2 linked regions of the Struthio camelus genome follow. The protein of the gene in region 1 interacts with the protein of each later gene in a pairwise test. Links are inferred from orthologs where the notes say so. Each region holds a gene or a part of one and is shown in the gene's direction. Other genes may lie near its edges.

The links.
Region 2: the proteins of ITGB2 (region 1) and CYTH1 interact in a two-hybrid assay, tested with the Homo sapiens proteins (2 studies listed by BioGRID). The link is inferred for Struthio camelus from reciprocal best matches to the Homo sapiens genes ITGB2 and CYTH1.

Annotation. Positions count from the first base shown.
Region 1 is NC_090947.1:655,871-659,772, reverse strand, and holds the start of ITGB2 (integrin beta-2), read left to right. Parts: upstream 1-779; 5' UTR 780-938; intron 939-3,902.
Region 2 is NC_090960.1:636,349-640,250, reverse strand, and holds the start of CYTH1 (cytohesin-1), read left to right. Parts: upstream 1-1,268; 5' UTR 1,269-1,298; coding exon 1,299-1,401; intron 1,402-3,902. UniProt on the Homo sapiens protein: Promotes guanine-nucleotide exchange on ARF1, ARF5 and ARF6. Promotes the activation of ARF factors through replacement of GDP with GTP.

The DNA of each region.
Region 1 (3,902 bases):
GGGCCGCAGCAAGCCCATCAGACCCAGTTGCCACTCCAAACACCAGCCGACCCCACCAAGATAAGCCCAGTTGCTCAGTGCCTCCCGCTTTGGCTGCGTTTCGGAGGGGTGAGCAGCAGCACAAGCCTTCCTGCAAGCCCACCGGGAATCCCACAGTGCCACTGGGAAGAAGCAGGATACATCCTCCTGACAGCTCTTCTGCTCCCAACAGCACTGCAGGTACAAGGCACGCGGGGGCACAACGCTTCCCACGGCTGGTCCGGGCTCAGCATCTCTTTCGGCACTGGTGCGCACAGGGCCCGGCACGGGAACGGGGCATGAGCTCGCCCAGCCCTTTCCTTAGCCAGCTGGAGGTGACGCTATGCAGAAGGCTCCCGCTACGCCAGCCAGTGACCAGCACGGCTGCACCCTGCATGGCACCCGTCTACAAGGGGTGATGGCTGCAGCAAAGAGGACTCTTCCTGGGTGCAGTGTGCGGTCCAGGAGGAGGATAACACCTGGCCCCACAGGGCAGGATGCTCTGCGGCCGCTGTGCAGGGGGTTCACCCAGCCTCCAGCCCCAGCAGCCCTGCCTGGTGAGGATGAGACCAAATACTCCAGAGTGGGCTGAAGCATCGTGGTATCTACTGCTGAAACCACCCAACAGATAGCACTGGAAGGCAGGGGCAAACGGCTTCGGCTAGGGTAAGTTGGGCTGGTTGGTTTTGGGGTTTTTTTTTTTTTTTTTTTGGACCCGCCCACAGCCACTACTCTGACTTCCTCCTTTCTGACACCAACCAATTGTATAACAGAAATAGGAAGAAAAGATTAAAGCGTGTTGCAGAGCTCCCGATGACTGACCTCTTTTTCCAGCCGAGCAGGAGGAAGTTGAGAGCAAGCCAAGACCAACTTTTACTGCAGCCTGAAACACAGGAGCCCAGGAGACAACTTGATGCAAGGTGAATATAATATTCCTTCTTTCCGGACGGAGGCAGGTGGAGGGCAAGGAAGCACCTGTGGTGTTTCCAATGAATTTGTTTTATACTGCTTGATCTAATCTCTTGAGAAGTAGCCACTTGAATCCTGAGCTGTTTTTCAGAGCTCAGTGCATTGCCACAGCGCTCATTCCTTACTCCTTCCAAAGTGATGGTTGATCCAGCATAGCCTTTGCCAAGACAGACTTGACTAGTCTGTAATTTCTGTTGCTTTTGGAGGTAGAAGTAAGCCTGGAACTGGCGATTATTATTGGGGAAGGGGGTGGTGTCCAACCTGAGAGAGCATCTTCATCACCCTTCTGTAGGCCTGGAAACCAGAATAGAGAGGGTACAACTCGCTATTGCTCTGACCTGAGGTGCCCCCATCACATCCCTCGGCACAAGTAGAAATGGCTGCCGAGGAGACTCGCAGATGGGGCGTACGCAGCTGCCGCCACGAGCATGGCCCAAGGAAAGGGCTGGGGCGAGGGGTGGATGGGAGCACCAGCTGGCACAGAAGCAGAGGGCTGACATCAGCTGCCCGCACAGGAACCGGTGCCAGACCAGCCTGCGAGGGCTCCTCCGGCTTTAGAGCAGACCTACTTCTGCCCCCAGCGAGGATAGAAGGAGGATTCACCCCAAGCTTGGGAAACCTCCTTTTAGGGCACTTGTGAGCAATAGCTGCCCTCTCAGTGCTGCGCGCTCCATCTTGTCGGGGTCCTGCGTTCCGGAGAACAAACATCCAGCGTTTCCTCCTTCTGGGCCAACTCTTACACTAGCGTGCAGATACCCATGCAGCTACAGGATGTTACAGCTCATATAGGAACAAGGAACTAAACCTTGACTCAGCGCGCAGCGGCATGGCACGAGGGCAGCAAGGCTCCAGCTGCTGAGAAGTTCAGCCTTGATACCGCCTCCGACACGGTGGTGCGTCAGCATGCAAGGGGACATTCCCCAAGTTCCTACGCGCCTTGCGGGCCCGGGGCAGAGCGGAGGCTGCTGGGCTTGGTGGGGGCAGAACCCAGCCCTAAACCCTTGAGGGCGCAGATCCTTTCTCCATCACATCTTGTACCTGGGAACGAGCCCAGCTTTGCTGTAAGAAGGGGTCGGTGGCAGTACCGCTGGGACCCATGCCTGCCACCAGATTTACATTGCGTCAGGACTTGCTGAATTTGGGTACCTTTGCCTGGAAGAAGAGCTAGAGAAGGGGATGAGGCCCTTGCTCTTCTCCCCCTTCACCTGACACCGAATCATATGCTGATACTGATTGAAAACCCAGAGCAGGAAGGGGCAAGGCCTCCAGTTCTCGAGACACTTGCACCCTGGAGCAGGCAGGGAAGAGCAGGAGGCTGGGAAGATGAACAGGCTGCTGCAGGCAAACTAACCCTGGGCGAGAGCAAAGTCTCCTTTGTGTAGGTAAGAGTTTGCTGTCTAACACAGCAAAGAAGTAGTTTAGGATACATGGGAAATAGCCCAAGTGTAATGGAAAGGCTGGGATATACAGTCATTCTTAATTCTAGCGTCAGACTGTTTAAGACCAGACTGACTGCTGGTTTCGATGCATTTGAAAACACCACAGACCCAACCGCCCGCCTCTCAGGCGGATGAAAAGCAAACGTGTGAACATTCACAGAGGTATCTCACCCTGTTGCTCGTACAGGCGCATATGACTTCTGAGGCGTGTGTGAAAGCTATAGTAGGGAAATGCAACGTTTATAGCTGTCACATCCTGCTTTGCTCAGTGGTTTTGCACTTTGTCTGTCCTCTCCATCCCATGGCTATTTCTATTGCAAGACATTTCTATCCAGGGTGCACAAGAGCATGGTACAGAACAACTTATTTCCTCAGAGAAACAAATAACTCAATTCACTGTCCAAAAGGCTGGAGGAGACAGTGGTGACACCTCATCACTCCTGCCCAACATGACACAGACCCGTAGCCAGTGATTCCCACATGACCCCCTGAGCTGGGATCGCTCTACAGGTATTTTCAGAATGGCATTTGATACGGATATAAAGACACTATGCAACAGGGGACACGCTGCAGCCTGCCCAGGCTGTCCTGGCGATCACAGCCCAAACTTTCAGGGCAGTGCTGCCTACCCAGGGCTGAGCTCTGCCACAGTGGACCAACAGCCTTTGCAACTCTCGGGCTGCAACTGTGTAGGCTGAGCACTGTGCACCTCGCACTGAGCCTCAGGAAATTTGCTCTTTCCAGCCTCCCAAGCTGAAGGTGGCTCAGGACTCATGCCCTGGTCTGGACGTCAAGCTCTCAAGGCACCCGCAGGGCAGCGGTCGGGGCTGATGTCCGACAGGAGGCTCCATCATGCATGTACACAGGGTTAGGGACAAGCAGCCCAGCTTGCCACTGCTTTGGAGTACCATTGCCAAAAGGGGCAGGTGGTGCCTGCCAGGAGGAGGTTGCAAGGCTCACATCATTCAAAAAGCAGCTGGAGACAGGAGAAACTGGCACCACCACTCCTAAATGTCCAGAATGACGCAGGGCTCGACCCAAGGCTCGAGCTTGAGAGCTGCGGGATGGCACATGCCAGGAAGTTTGCAAAGTACACCGGAGAGCATTCATCCCACAGTCCATTCCCCTAAATGCTCTGGGGCTGCTAGAAGGAAAACACTCCTCATACAAACACGTCTAGAGAGCAAGCAGCTTTTTGCTGCGGGAAGTTTGGTGAGGGATCCTGAGCAGTCATAGCCATGCTTTTCTAACCTGTGCCTGGACCAGAGGTTGTGTTGTGAGCATAGGAAGTAGCAGATGTGGCTTGGAGGACCTCTGTGACTTTAGGGTACTTGTCTACATTGCGACTGTGTTTACCTATAAGAAGGGAACAGGGCCTCAGCAAGGCACATTTAGGTAAATATATCCCTGGTTAACCTATGACAAGTGCCACAGGACATCAGCATCAGTGACAGCAGGAGAATGGGACCAGTGATC
Region 2 (3,902 bases), on another chromosome or scaffold:
GTGAGGGGACCCCCTCTCCCCTGCCCTGGACCAGGTGTTGTCTGCTGTGGGTGCTGCTGCGTGCAGCTGCCTCAGCAGCTCCTCTGTATGCCTGCGAGCGTGGGCTCTGCCCTAGCCTGGAGCTCGGAGCTGCCAGAGCTCCTTCCATCCTTGCTATCTCTCAGTTACCAGTTCTGGAGCTTCATGCAGGCATACAGAGAGAAAGCAGGAGTTGCAGCTCCCCTCAGTGCTGCTGTTGGGGCAGCCCTTCTCCCAGCTATGCTCATCCTGTGCTTTGAGGCTCTGGGGAGCTGCACTGGAAAGTGCCTGCAAATCGTCACGGCTCATTCAGGTGATCAGTGGCATCTGCTTGCCTTGTGGGGAGTGGGACACCGGCCCTGGTTTGCATAGCTGGGACCACGAGGGCTGCTGTTAGTCCCTCCTGGGCACGCTCTGTCATGGGGCTCTCCCCTTGTGCTGGAGCTGCTTCTTGCCAGGGCATGCTCCAAGTCCGTCCTCGCCCTGCCCTGCTGCTGGGCCCCTTTTCCCAGTGCTGCTCTGTCTGTCCCAGTGCAGAGCACTGGCATGCTCCAGCCCTCCTGCAGCTGGGGCTGTGGTGTGCCCTGCCTGGGCCTCCTGGGGGTGAAGGGGCAGGAAGGGGGGCAGAGCTTGTTCCTGCACCACTGGGGCTCTGGGAGCAGGGGCGGTTTGCTGCTGCTGGGCTGGTGCTCTGAGGTGCTGCCCCCCTCTTGCTGACGGCGTGCCTGCCTCGTACAGTGCCACGCACCGCCCGGTGCTGCTTTCCCCTCGTCTGTGTGCCGCACCAGGCGTGGTGCAGCCCTTCAGTCTTCCGCTGGCCGGGCCCTGCTCCCCCCTGCACCCCGCTGCTCCCTGTGCTGCCCCACACCCCGCTCCAGCCCTGCCGGCACCGTGGGGCACGGGCTGCAGCGGGCATCGCTTCGTTATCCGCGCTATGTACGTGCCGACGAGCCCTAGGGCAGGGGCCGGGCTGGGGAGTGCATCCGTGTCACCCGACGGGCAGCGGGGGTGCTGCACGGTGGTGTCCCCCCCGCGCGCCCCCACCGCCCCTCCCCCGGTGGGGGAGCAGGGCACCGCGCGAGCGGCCCCCGGGCCCCGACCCCGCTTGTCGCCGAGATCGCGGTGCAATAAAGCAACGGAGTTTGTGAACGCTGTCTCGCGTGGGGGCCGTCGGGGGCGGGGGGGGGGGAGCGGGGCTGCGTGGGCGGGGCCGCGCCGGCGGCTAGCCCCGCCCCGCGGCGGGAGGCCGCGCCCGCTCCCGCGTCACGTGACGGCGCCTCATGGCCTCGCCCGCGGCGGCCTCAGCGCCGCCCTGTCACGCGGGCGGCAGCGGAGCGGCTCCGGCGGGGCGCGGCGGCAGCATGGACGAGGAGGGCGGCTACGGTCAGTGCGGCCGGGCCGGGCCGGGCCGGGCGGGGCGGGGGGAGCGCGGCGGCGGGGCGGGGGTCGGTCGGTCGGTCGGGGGGGGGGCGCCGCGGGGCTCGGGGGGGCGGGACGGGCCCGGCCCGGCCCTGGCGGCGCAGGTGGAGGCGAGGCCAGGCGAGCCGGTGCCCGCGTGCCCGGCGTCGGGGCGGCTCCCGCTCGGCGACGCCGGGGCCGCGGGAGCCGCCGGCAGCAGAGGCGGCGGTGGAGCGAGGGCCCGGCGCGGCCGCCCGCCCGCGGGGCCGGAGGAGGAAGCTCCGCTGAGGAAGCGGCTGCCGAAACCGAGAGCTGCGGGCGCGGCAGGCGGCGCCGTCGGCGGGCCGGGGGCTCCGGCCGCCCTGAGCCGCTGGGGGAGCCGGGCGCCCTCGGGCTCCGGCCGGCAGCCGGGCTGCTCGGCCCCCGCGCTGCGCCGGCGGCTGCTTCTCTTTCCCCTCGAGCTTTCTGCCTCGCCCGGCGCCGCGGCCCGTGGCTTCCTCGGCTAGCCGTGGGGGAAGCCCCGCCGCCGGCTGCGGGGGCGCCGGCCGCTCGCGCTTTGCCTTCGGCTGCTGCAGCCCGGATCCGGGCGGCAGCGGGCCCCTGCGCCCCCGCCGGGAGCGGGAGCCGGGTTCGCGGTGCCCGCTAAGCGCCTCGCAGACCGCTAGAGCGGGGCGGCGCGGGAGCCCCCGGCCCCGTCCGCAGCATGGTCCGCTGCCGGGGCGGTGGCGGGCTCCCTCCCTTGCACGCGTTTCCCCAGCCTTCCTCCGTCCCCTCTGTCCGAAGCACGTTCCCTCCCGCTGTCCACGAGGGTGAAAAGGTAGCGCGTGTGCCCGGATGGGAAAGGCTCCAGTGAGCTGGCAGGTGACTTTTCTTTGAGCGAGGGCTCTGTAGAGGGGGGAGGCTGCTGGGGACTGATTAGGTAGGGCTGTTGGGGTGAGGCCCCGCTGAAGCCCAGGTCTGGATGCTCTGAGCCCTGGGCTGTGCCAGCGATCGTTCTTCCGGGGAGTCGAGGTCGCCCTGGGCTCTGCTCGAGCTCGGAGACGCCGGTTCGGGCCCGCTGCCCGTGCTGGCTCACGGGCTGCTTTTTGCCTGAAACGGTTGTGTAATGCAGATTAGGAGGCTGCTGTGTCCCGCCCCAGAAGTGGCTGCGTTTGACGCTGCAGAGTTACTGTTTGAGATAAGGTATAAACACTTGGCTCTCCGGGTACGCAGCTCTCTCGAGGTGCCTGTACGCTCAGGCATTAAACATAGCCCGTTAGCTGGAGAGCGCTGCAGGGAAGGATCCTGAGAGCAGCCGCTTGATTTTTCCTGGAGTTGGCTGCAAGATGACTTGGGTCATTTTTCAGCATCAGAAATTGCCTGCTAACCGAGCTGCTTGGGCCGCAGGGTGGTGTACAGGATTTGCAGCACGGCTACCTCCAAGTCCACGCTGCTTGTCTCTCCAATGTCAAGTAGGGCATCGTGGTTTGCAGCTTCCCTAGCAGATCCTAGTGCTGTCCCAAAGCCCTTGAGCTCTGTTGGTTTTGTAGCGGACAATCTGCTGGGGTCTCTTGACATGGTGGGAGCCCTCAGGGTAGGCTCTTGCTGGTGGGATTCTGCTGACACCCGTTTCTGCCTCGCCGCGTGCACGGTACGCGACCTCTCTCCAGCCGTCTGCCTCAGCAGAGAGCAAATCCCTGGGTAAGCAGCTGACGGCACAGATGTGGGCTCTCTCCCCCTTCTCCCTGCCAAGGTGAAGGGCTCTGCTCCTACCCCCTTCTCAGCCTCTCCCCCGCAGGGAAGGTACTGAGAACTGGAGCCATCCCTGGATCGGAGCAGGTGAAGCGCTGGGATAGCAGGTGGCAAGCGCATCGGGGCCGGCGGGGCTCCGTGCTGGCCTTGGGAGACGCCACAGTGTCCGGCGGGAACGCTGGTGGAAGGAGGTATCTTGGCAGGGAATCGCCCAGGCCGGGGAAGTCACGGCCGCTCTGGCCCCTGCTGAGCGGCGGCGCCGGCGAGCAGCCTGCTGGCAGGGAGCCTGATCCCATCCCGGCTCTGCAGGCACCGGTGTCCTGAGCTGGGTCCCGTCTCGGCTCAGGACCGGCCCCAAGGCCTCGGGGTGAGGGGGATTGGGCAGCGGTGGTAATCCTGCTGCACCCAAGGGATTACTGTCCGTTCTGGGCTGGGGGATTAAGGGATTTCTCTAAGCGGTGCAGTCTCCTGCAAAGCGGCTTGTGCTTGGGGGGGCCTTGCTGTCTGTGGCGGGTGGCCGGTGCCAGGAGGTGGTGTGAGGTGCCGGAGGTTGCCGAAAGGAGGGCAGGATAACAGGATCCCCAGCTGGCGGGAGGGCAGGGGCTTCCCCACGCCTCTCCGTGGCGGCCCTGCTCCTCTCCCTGCTGCCGCCTCGCAGAGCCCTGTTTCCCAGAGGACCAGGCCGGCCCCAGCACGTCCCTTGGCGCGGGCTCAGCGGGGCTTTTCAGAGGTGGCGCAGGCGCCCGCAGCTTGCG